Coturnix japonica: one gene and its partners. The protein of the gene in region 3 purifies or fractionates together with the protein of the main gene of each other region. This does not show direct contact. Links are inferred from orthologs where the notes say so. Each region holds a gene or a part of one and is shown on either strand. Other genes may lie near its edges. The genes, in order: C5H15orf41, HAT1 and ASF1A.

Region 1 (3,649 bases), on a different chromosome or scaffold from region 3:
AGATCCTTGGATAGACTGATCCATTAAATCATTCAAAACTGATTCACAGTTTGTCGAGTTATGCCTGTGCCTTTCCATTTAAACAGTCTCAGAGAGCAACAGAAGTTGACTAACTTACATGCAAACTAATCTGTCATCAAGTGTTCATTAACCTTTCAGTATCTAAGGGGGAGCTACAGGAAAGAAGGTGAGAGAACAAGGGAAAATTGCTTGAAGCTCGAAGAGGTTTAGGTTGGATTTAAGGAAAAAATATTTACAATGAGAATGATGAGGCACTGGAACAGGTTGCTTAGTGGTGTGGTGGATGCCCTGTCCCTGGAGGCTTTCAAGGTGAGGCTGGATAAGGCCCTGGGCAACCTGATCTGCTGTGGTGTCCCAGTTCATTGTCGGGGATTCAGGCTAGATGGCCCTCAGAGTTCCTTTTCAACTATAAGGATTCTATGATTCCATGATCAAGCCAACTGCCATTATATTAGAAAAAGCTTCAGTAATTCACAACTCAATTCAGAAGACATTGTGATAGCATTAGTTTGATCAAGCAGTACCAACAGGATTTGTATTTACAAAACAATAGCAACAAAAAACAAACAACCCAAATAACAAACAAAAAGAGAGCATACAATTATACCTTTTCCCAAGCTAAGGCTAGCAATTTTCACCTTAGCATTTTTTATACTCAAGACAAAAAATGATGGACACCACAAACTAGCCACTGATAGCGGCATATGCTGTTAGTTACATGTTCAACCATTTTTGTACCGTTTTCTCTACCCTCTGTTAGATTTCTCAGAGACTGTCTGAACACTGAGAAGATCTATACTTTTACAAATCCTTTATTAAAACTATCATTTACATCTCTCACTGACTTCCTAAGTGTTCCACCACTTAAAGATGAGTATCTTATCATTATTAGTTTGGGATGAAAAATCTTCTAGTGAGAAGACTGCTATTACCTTGAAAAGATATACAACTATACACAATAACAATCTTCCTTTTGTATTACTGAGCTAATGTAACAGTCTTTAAAAGAAAGGATCTTTATGAAAATAAAATCAACATTCAAAAATTCTGTCCAGTGTGACTTCTCATATTCCTGCAAACACTTAACATTTATTAGCTTGAAAAGAATATAATATTATTATGTAAGATTTAGATAGCATATGAAAAGAACATTTTATCAAACAAAAATGAATCAGAATTGTGTTTGGCACACATAGTAGGCAATATTTTTCTCATACAAGGCCTACTTGTTAGACAGTGAGGATTTTAAACTAAGTTTGGCATCTTGCAAGTATTAAAGAATCTTCCCTTAGTCAAGTTCTAAAAAAAAACTGAAATAAAACTTCTGTACCAAAGCACTTTATTTTGTTAACTAGCATCACTTTAAAAACACCATACATATCTGTTGCATGTTAGCACTGAAAATATTATTTTTCCACAAATACTTCAGCATTGAAATTTGACATACTAATTCATAAAATTCAAGATGTCAGATTAGTAAAATGTATTTTATTCACACGGTTTAATACAAAAGCCCAGTATCTTAAAAAAATAAAAAAAAACCTAATAACAGAAACATACCTATTCCAATAACTCCAAAACTGGTCCTGCAAGTAGGCCTGGTGGCTACTTTCATCACCAAATGAGGCTTTGCTTTCAATCCAGTGAATTATGTGTCCTTCAACAGCTAGGGTGACAGCAAAAAAAGTGAACTGCAAAAATCAGACTGAACAGTCTTAAGAATGTGTTTGGGAATACCCTGTTTAACCCCCAATCTACCACATAATTCATGTTTATACATATTTACATATGTGTAAATACATTTTTCAAATATGTATACTGATAATGTTTTTTTAAAAAATAACACATATTATTTTAATGGATAATTATCTCAATTAAATATCATCTCATTCTAGATATTTGCCTTTCTTCTTAAACACAAACAATGTAAAGAAAGAGACCAGAAAAAGAGATCAGACTATGGAGCAACTGTGTCCTACTTTCAGCCTTACTTTAGTGAAAAGCAATTGAAGATGTCTGGTGATTATCAAGCAGTTAGTTAGTTAAGCTGCAAATGGTAGAGAATTCTTAGCCCACAGTAGAAGGTGTGATAACAGAAAGGAGGGTTACCAGAGATATATAACTGCCTCCCAACTTTTTCAAAATCAGTAATGCTTCAGCAAGAAGAATTTAGGAATAAGAATGGCTATGTGAAAGATCTGATATGGAAATTCTGTTTCTGGGATTTTCACTGATTGATGCCTTTCGGTATTTCTCGCAGGACAGAATTTGCAATATTAAAAAAACACATTTATTTATTTATTTATTTATTTATTGGTGAAAGAAAGCCCTGTCTGAAACTGATAAACTAATTTTGCAGAAGAAATTGTGAAAACCACTCAAAAGGATCATCCGTTCTCTAGAAGGACAATGTGGAATAGCAGTACTGAGTTAAGGAAGCCTTTAAAAACTTTTTAGAAAGCTCTCATATCTACACATATACTTATCTACTGGATAAGAAAGACTACCATGCTGAATGATTACATCTGAAGAACTGCTGTGGATAAAAATTTTTAATAGTATGCACTCAATTCCTTCTACCATGAATGAATTGGTTATCTGTAAGAATTCCTTCTCTTGTTAATATGAAGAACAAAAAAAGCAGTCATGAATATGGCTTTCATATAGGGCTTTAAGCCTTTTTATTTTCACTAATACCTGCAAACACCTGCCTAGTTTAGTTGTAAACAGATAAAGGAGAAGTCTACTTGTATTTTGGGTAATACTATTCTGACCCAAAGTAGATGATCTTAAAATTACTGAGTAAACACAAAAAAACCCTGAGAAATATTTAGTATCCTGTAACATACTTCATATTCTTATGTCTTAAGAAGTTGTATTACTTTAAGATAAACAGTTCTATACAAAATAAAATAATAACAATTCTTTTCAAAGACTTACCTACTGGCACTTCTAAAATAAAGTCTGGTGTTTTGTCATAACCCTTTGCACGAAGCTGATCTTCGGCTACACAGAGAGAACAAGGCCTATTGTTTATAAAACTCTTCTATTAAGTAGACAGCAGTATAATTAATTTTATTTTAAATAAGAGTGTAAGAATTATTAATGCAGTCATACATATCTTTCTTATGCATGCAATGATGTGTCAGATTAAATGAACCTTTGTAGAAAACCTGAAGCATGGATATAAAAATGCTTCTTTGTCATCCCTGCATTTTTATGTCTTCATTATAAACATCATTAATTCAAGCTGTCATACAGTATTTTATAACCTCCAAATATTCAAAATAAAGAGATATATTCACTGATTGAAAGAAGAGTTTCCTCACATTAGGGAGCTGTTGAGATTAATCCTACCAACACCACAAATGTAGATATATTGCAGTTGCCTTCATGGCTTTATTTTAATGTTAACACTAAGGTGTTTAAAAAAAACAATCAAAAAAAGAAAAAAAAAACCCACAAACAAGACAGTTCTTCTCTTCTAGAAATCCATTAAAGAAGTATGCCATGATTCTAAAATAAATTAATTATAATTAATTAATTAATTAATAAAAAATTAAGTAAAATTAATTAAACATGAAAAAATTAGATATTTTCTTAACACAAGCTATGCAACTCTACTGCT
Region 2 (3,749 bases), on a different chromosome or scaffold from region 3:
AGCTCGGCAGGATCCGCTCTTTTGGTCGAAGGCACCTGCGAGTAAAAGTAAGTTAATGCTTCACCAGCTGAGCTACAACTCGGGAACAAAAACGCAATGAGTGCCGATAAGGGCGGCGGTATCGGCTGCCTTATCTAACCGATAAGACTCAAACACGACATCCCGTGTCACCCGCTGACAGCCGGCCCAGCGCGCGGGTCCCGCACCGCGCCCGTCCCTGGGGATGCGGAGCGCCGGGCCGCGACCGTTCCCTCCCTCACGCGCCGAGTAACGGCCTCGGCCCGCGCCGCTGCTCCTCGGCGGACGGAGGCAGGACCGACCGCGCTGCCCCTTCCCCGCAGCCGCCCCCCCCCCGCCTCCGGCTTCGTCCCGCGTCCCTCGGGGCCCCGCGGGCAGGCACGGCGGCCGCCCGACGACGGAGGAGTCACCTTGACCGCCATGCTGCGCCGGCGAGCGGGAGGAGGAGCCGCGCGCCTCTACCCACCCGCCGCGCCGCCGCAGCGCCGCCGCCTCAGCGCCGCGCCGTGGGAGGCAGCGCCCGGCCCCGCCCTGCCCCGCCCGGCGGGCTGCCCTCGGTATCCGCCGTACCGTGTCGGCGGCCCCGCGCCTCCAAATCCCGCAGCGCGGCGACCGGTGCCGGCCGGGTCGGGTCGGGCTGCAGCGGACGCTCAGCCGGCTCCGTGTGACAGCGTCGGGGGCCGCCGCATCGGGGCGAGAGGCGCTCGTGCACGGCTCGTGCCGCTGAGCGGGGCAATGCCCTGGGGATGTGGCGGCCCAGCACAACGGGACAGCGCTGCAGCCTCAGCCCGCAGCACGGCAGGGACACGGCAGGGAGCGGCCAGGCACGCGGCAGGGACACGGCAGGGACACGGCAGGGAGCGGCCGTACGGCGCCTGGCGGCGGTGAGGGTCGGAGCGGCCGGTGTGACCGTAAGGCAGAGCGGGACCCGCCGGGCGCGGGGCAGCGCAGACCGGCACAGCAGCTCGGCGTCCGAGCTCGCAGAAGGGATTTGGAAGGAACCTGCCTGCTCTGCCAGCGCCGCTGCTGCGCTCCGCAGGGCCGGACCCTGAGGCGAAGCCACTAACGCTTTAACGAGAGCGAATCGGCCCCGGGTCCCTCATCCCGTCCCGGCACTGAGGCAGGTGTGAGGCTGAAGTAACGACACATCAGTAACCCCGCTGCAGGCTGCCCCTGGGGCGGGGCTGTGCCAATGAGCCGCTGAGCCAACGCGCGGCTCCTTAAAGGCTCCCGCCGGCACGCGGCTGCGCATGCGCACACGGGGTCCAGCCTCAGCTGGCGGTTCCCGGCCGCTTTTGGGCGGGCGGAAGCGGAAGTGTGTGCGCGTCTTCTCACTTCCGCCGAGTGGGCGCGCGGCTTGATTCGTTGTGCCCGGGTGACTCGGCCGCCGCCGCCGCTGGGAAATGGCGGGTGAGTCGTAGGCCGGGGCCGGCCGGTCGGCGGCCTGATTGCAGCCTGACTGCAGCCGCCGGGGTGTGGGAGCCGTCGTCCATCTTCTATTAAGGGGAGCAGTCGCCCTGGGCGCGGACGGTGCTCCTCCCCGCGACCGGGCCCGAGTTTGTGCTGGGCCACGAACGGGAGCAGGGCCCTTTGCTGGCCTCGCCCCCCGCAGCACAGCAGGAGCTCGGGGCCATCTCGGGCCCTGCGGACCGGGCCGTGGGCTGGGCGGCCGCTGCCGTGGGTCAGCTCTGCAGCGGGGCTGTATTTACACACCGTGTGCGGCTCTGTGCCCGCCGGGTCATTGAGAACACTTCTGGAGTAACCTTATTCTGAATTGCTTGAAATGGGAGGAAGAACTTCTGCTAATGCTGCTGGAATAGGGAGACAGGGTGGGTTTAACACACTTGAAAAATGCCTTGATGAATGACACGCCTTTTGTGTGCTGGATTAGACGCTGGGAAACAGGCTACCTGTAATTTCCTGCCTCATCCACTCTGGAAAGAAGGTAATAGCTACGTAACAGCTTGGTAGCATTCCTGCCACAGTTCAAGATCTCCTGACATGCATTAACCCTTATTCAAACACATCTGCATTTATTTTGGAAAACACTTCATAGTGAGAAAACAGATTGGCTTGAAAAGTAAAGAGAATGACAAAGTAGGAGCTGCAGGGAGAGCAGTGCATTATGAAATGAAGTCAGCGTTATGATGTTGTTCCTTCTGTTCTTGAGAGCCTTTTTCTTAACATTGAATTACATTGAATCATTGAATTACGCTGACCCAGATTGTACATATCGAAACTCTTCCCAAAATCTTTTTCTTTAGGACTGACTCCTATGGAGAAGAAGCTGGCTGAATACAAATGTAACACAAATGAAGCAATACAGCTCAAACTAGGTAATGCCAATTTTTAAATATTATGTGTTTGGAATATTTTAATATCTATTTAATAAAGTCCTTGTAATTTAATCTAATTAGCTGATAATATGCATTTATAAATATACAGGCACAAGAATAGGAATTCATAGTGTAGTTTTATTGAGAATGGTACAGTACAGCTACAGAAACTCAGGCTTTTACCTGTGTAATAACATCAGCAATCTATTAACATACTGCTAAACTGCATTGGGATGATGCCACCTTGTTCTTCTTGAGTTATTAACTATATTCTCTTAGTTTCTTCTTCTCTAGAACTTTTGCTACTATGTAGTCCTAAGTATGCACCATTGTTCTTCTGAGGAAACACAATAAGTAAAGCTGGAAAGTGTTTTTTGGTTTGTTTTTTCCACCTCTCCCTCAACATGTAGACAACACAAGCTATCTTCAACAAAGTCTTTAAAATCTGTGTAGAAAAAGTACTACTCTATTTTTCAGAACTGTTTATTGCTTTATATAGCTAACTTGCTTAATACCATATATAGAATACAAGTGGAATTACTGACTTACTTATATCTGAAACTTACCTGTATTGTTAATTAATAAGACAGTAGGTAATACATCTGTGTTTTTTAATCTTTCCAAACCTTCAGCATTTTGTTTCCTTGAGCAGTACAAATAGCTTTACTTATTAAGAAAGTAAAAATAATTAACATTTTAAGCACTCTTAAGAACTACTATTAACAGTTTGTTCTGCAAAACTTAGTCGACTTTTAAATGCACGGTTGGCTTGTGAGACAAAACATCATTGTAACCTAAATACTGAAGCCTTTGAGCTGCTAACCGGTGAAGCATTTCTCTTCCATTTGAACAACAGTTCAAATACTCATTTTGTGACTATTTTTATTTAATCTATATATATAACGTTTTGGTTTTCCTCTTGTGTCTTTCTAAATCCAAAGGATGAGAAGTAATAGAATATACCTGTCAGTTTACTTTTTTCTTTGTGAGAGTGTAGATGTTCTACATACAACGTTAGAAAAAATTAAAATTTAATGCCATTAAAAACAAAAAAACACGCCTTTCCCGTGAGCATAGGGGTATAAATGTGGACATGGCTGTACTCTTCTGAGTCCTAATTCGTTCCATGGTGATGTTTCAGGATTACTCTGTTTTCCCTTTTTTTCTGGTTTGTTTTTTTGTTGTTTTTAATCTTGCTACTTTGATTCAACTGGGTCGTTCTCTGAATCAAGCTGAAGAAGACGAAAACTGCCATTGAGAGGGCTGAGTTTCATCCTGTTATTAAGAAACCCTTCGTTCACTTTTCTCTTGGAATATCTCCTATTGATGGAAAATCCTTTTTACTTCATCTCCAGTTTTACTGGAGTAAAACAGCAATGAGACTGTAGTTCCATA
Region 3 (3,749 bases):
CAAACTCATTCTAAAGCAGTAATACTTGGTACTGAAAAACAAGCCTTTGAAGATAACTTATACCTTTAAAAGGTTGATCTGATACTGCTGATACATGATGACTTGGAATAATTTAAAGACGGGGGAAGTGAACTCAATTAATTTACTTTTAAGACCAGTGGTGCACAGGACTGGCTGTAAACAGCAGAGCAGACATTAGCACACAAACGCTAAGGAAATGACAGCAATTCATTCTCTTCAAGAAGCTGTTTAACCTCATTTTTAAACGTGAAAGATAGCAATGCTTACCCTAAACATATCCTGTAGCCTAACCTTTGTCAGATGGGGGAAGGGAACTGAGAATTTTGAACTGGGCCACCTCCAGTTCTCATCCTGACTGTCCAGATTAATCGCACTGTTAAACACACAGTTAGGAGTGGTCACAAACCAAAGGAAAGGCAAGGTGATGCCTAGTGCCTGTGCTGCTGCAGGCACTGCTGTGTGAGGATTCAGGTGCTGCTGTCCTGAGTGAGCCCTGACTGCCTGAGTCAGGGAGGAGCAGCCATCAGCATCGGGATGTGCACGGAGCTTAATGGCGCGGGCTGCTCAAACTGAGACGCTGATCAGTTTTAGGAAGGGGGCAGAGGCGTGGGGGGAACCTCAAACGCAGACAGGACTTTGACAAAGTTCCTGACAGCACCGCCAACCCGCCACACAGGGACAGAAACCCGCGCCGAGTGTTGAGGGAGGCAAACTGAACCACAGCAGCAATAGAAACGTCCCCATTCTCTACTGCCACGAGTTTCTTTCCCTGCCTCCCGCTGTCTGCCCTGGTTCCCCGGCGAGCAGGCGGCACTGTGCCCCATAGCGGCACCTGTCCTGTGGCTGCTCCATCGGAGCGGCCTTTTCCTGTCTCTCGGTGCCGCTCATCCCGCCGCTTCCTTCGCCGTGCGCCGCCGCGTTCGAATCTCCCGCCCGGTTGTTCCCGCGCGGACTCTCGGGGCGCCTCCCGCGGAGAGGCGCGGCGCGGCCTGCCGGCGGCACGGACACATCGTGCCGAGCGAGCCGGCCCACAGCGGGCCGGGGGCTGCTCGCGGCCCGCCGTGCGGACGGGAGGACTCGAGCCCGGCCGAGAAGGGTCCCTCAGCCGCGTCTCCCGTCCCGGGGTCCCCGCGGGGCGGCGTGCAGGGCGGCGCCGAGCCGCCTCCCCCGGCGGCAGCCGGTAACTTTCGAGTGACTTCCAAAAATAGTGGCTACCGCCTCCCCCTCCTCCCGGCACGGCTCCGCGCCTCCGGACCGCCACCCACCGGGCTCCGAGCACTGCGCCCACCGAGAGCCGCCCGCTCGTCCGCCCGGCCTCCAGCTCTGTTTTTTTCCTTTTCTTTTTTTTTTTTTTTCCTTCCCTCCTTTTAAGTATTAAAATGGACCGTGAGGCCCCGCACCGCACGCTCCAAACGCTGCCCGCGCTGCGGGTACCTCCCGTTGGCAGCGCTACGGCCGCGCAACAGTTCCGCTCCCGCGTCGCGGGGCCGCGCGGCGCCCTGCCCGCCCGCCCGCTCCCGCTCTGCCCCCCCACGCACACACAAAGCTGGCAACATGGCTACCACCACTCTAACAAGTTCCTCGCAACTTGAAGGCGGCCTCGGCGACGGCGCGGCGGGGAGCGAAGCGGAGCGGCGGCCCCGGAGCGAGGGCTCCGCCGCTAACTTTCCCTGCCCGGGCCGGGGCCGGGCGGCCCCGCCGTAGCTCCGCATCCCCCGCGTGGCCGCACGGCTCTGCGGGGAGGAGAACCGTGCGGCGGCGGGAGCAGGCCCGGCCCGAAGGGAGCCCGCCCGGCCCCGCATCCGACAGCCCGGGCACCGCCGAACCCGCGTCCGGAGAGCGGTACTCACCTTCCGACAGGTCCTCTATGCACTCAAATGTGATTTCGAACTGGAAAGGGTTGTAGAAAGGAGAAGGGTTGTCCAACACCACTACATTGTTCACCTGAACCTTTGCCATATTTTGAAAAAAATCACAATAGGAGGAGCGGGTGAACGCCGCACGGCAAAGTCCCGAGCGGTGATCTCCGCCTCGCACGAAGCCCCCTGCCCCCCGTCGGAGCGAGGCTGCGGAGCCGCGACTTGGGGAAACTTTTCTTCCCCCCTTTTATTTACACCGGGAGCACTCCACTCTGTTCGCAGCTTTCCTATTTCACTCAACTACGGCCCATTCTGCCCTGCTCTCCGCCAGCGCCCGTCCGGATTGGCCGCGCGCTGGGCTAGGGCCCTCCTCCCCGAGCCGAGCCGACCGCCGAGCGGCGGCAAGACAGGCACCGCCGCCGCCCGCCCGGCCCCTCCGCGCCGCTCGGCGCCCCCGCCCGGCCGGCGCCCGACACCGCCGCCAAACCGCCCGGCAGCCGCCGGCCAACGGCCGCGCAGAGCGGGGAGGGGCCGGGCCGAGCGGGCGGGGCCGAGCGCGGAGCCGAGGGGCGGCCCCGGGAGCCGTAGGCCGCGCCCCTGCTCGCGCGTGGGTTTCCGCCATGTGCTGTGGGTTTTGCCGGTTGTTAGTGCCCGAGGAAGGCGTGTTTTCATTCTTTTTAATTCTTTTCGCGAACCCGGAGGTGTCAGGTGTTACGTGCTGACTGGGGACTGCCCGACCGAGCCCTGGTCCGCTGTGTGAGCGGCCTCCAGAAAGCTGTCAACCCGTGGCTGTGCTGTAGTGAAGCCTCCGGCAGCGCCGCACGCCCCGAACACAAGCGGCCCTTGGAGGAGGCCATTTTAGGCTGCCGTGTGCGGGAATGGCAGCGGGGATATGTCATGTCACCGCCCGCCGCTGGGCTGGGGAGAGCCGTGCCCCGGGCTGGGGGTGTGAGGTGTTTCTCGTCAGCGTGAGAGGCGATTCCCGGAGGAAATAAATACGTGGTCATGCAGTAATCGTGCCTGCGGGGAACACTTAATGTGCGGCAGGAAGGTACGGAGCAGACATCTTGCCTGAGCCATGCAGGCAAGCAGCAGAGTGCTGCCATGTCTACAGTGAGGCCCTTAGCCGTCCTCCAAGCCACTGCCAGGTTTGGAAAGGTGATTATGCTTCTGTGTTGACAAAGAAGTGTCTGATAGTTGCCTCATCTGTTGCTCAGTGTACATTTTTAGCATTCCTCGTGTCAGATGAAAGGCCAGATTGGGCACAGTAGAAGAGACTCCTCACAACAAGCTACTATTACTATCAAGAAACATAAATTGCCAATAATTTCTGACTGATCTGCACAGAGATGTGCCATGGGAAGATCCTTGGGCAAGTTTCGTTGTAACATTCCAGGAGGTTTCAGGCTGGCAGCAGCTTGTCATCTACCAGGATATTTTGAGCAGAGCGCTTTGGAGTGAAAAAGAAGGGCTAAAGATAGAGAAAAGGCTGGGGAGTAGGGACGAGGAAATGGGAAAGAGCTGCACATACTTGATAGTGAGCAGCCATTATCACAGCTTAGAAACATTTCTGACCTTCCGTGCTCCCAGTGTTGCATCACATGTAGATTCACAAGTGCCTGCTGGGAACTTATTTGGTTCATTTCATTTTGGATTATTATTTTTTTTTCTTCTAAGCTTTATTTTTCAGCTCTGCAATATTTGTCTATTTTAGTGGTTGGTGAATGCATCCATTCTATACATTTGTGGGCTTTGTAGTCACACCAGTTTTCATTTTAATATAGTAGATTTGATTTTCTCACCCTTGTTAATAAGTAATTACTAAATTTGGAATGCTTAGCAGAATCTGCTCTGCAGATCATGGCTAAC

What was found.
Region 1: the proteins of ASF1A (region 3) and C5H15orf41 purify together in Homo sapiens (affinity purification with mass spectrometry; 3 studies listed by BioGRID and IntAct, counting the BioPlex papers as one, with this or other methods). This does not show direct contact. The link is inferred for Coturnix japonica from reciprocal best matches to the Homo sapiens genes ASF1A and CDIN1.
Region 2: the proteins of ASF1A (region 3) and HAT1 purify together in Homo sapiens (affinity purification with mass spectrometry; 4 studies listed by BioGRID and IntAct, counting the BioPlex papers as one, with this or other methods). This does not show direct contact. The link is inferred for Coturnix japonica from reciprocal best matches to the Homo sapiens genes ASF1A and HAT1.

What each region holds. Positions count from the first base shown.
Region 1 is NC_029520.1:28,375,474-28,379,122, forward strand, and holds part of C5H15orf41 (protein C15orf41 homolog), read right to left. Parts: intron 3,028-3,649; coding exon 2,962-3,027; intron 1,688-2,961; coding exon 1,582-1,687; intron 1-1,581. UniProt on the Homo sapiens protein: Plays a role in erythroid cell differentiation.
Region 2 is NC_029522.1:16,002,006-16,005,754, reverse strand, and holds the start of HAT1 (histone acetyltransferase type B catalytic subunit), read left to right. Parts: upstream 1-1,352; 5' UTR 1,353-1,421; coding exon 1,422-1,428; intron 1,429-1,569; exon of another isoform or gene 1,570-1,801; coding exon of another isoform or gene 1,802-1,847; intron 1,848-1,909; coding exon 1,910-1,963; intron 1,964-2,282; coding exon 2,283-2,354; intron 2,355-3,749. Other genes in the region: SLC25A12 (calcium-binding mitochondrial carrier protein Aralar1), read right to left, coding at 1-35, 1,175-1,270. UniProt on the Homo sapiens protein: Histone acetyltransferase that plays a role in different biological processes including cell cycle progression, glucose metabolism, histone production or DNA damage repair. Coordinates histone production and acetylation via H4 promoter binding.
Region 3 is NC_029518.1:57,107,285-57,111,033, forward strand, and holds the start of ASF1A (histone chaperone ASF1A), read right to left. Parts: upstream 2,367-3,749; 5' UTR 1,981-2,366; coding exon 1,872-1,980; intron 1-1,871. UniProt on the Homo sapiens protein: Histone chaperone that facilitates histone deposition and histone exchange and removal during nucleosome assembly and disassembly.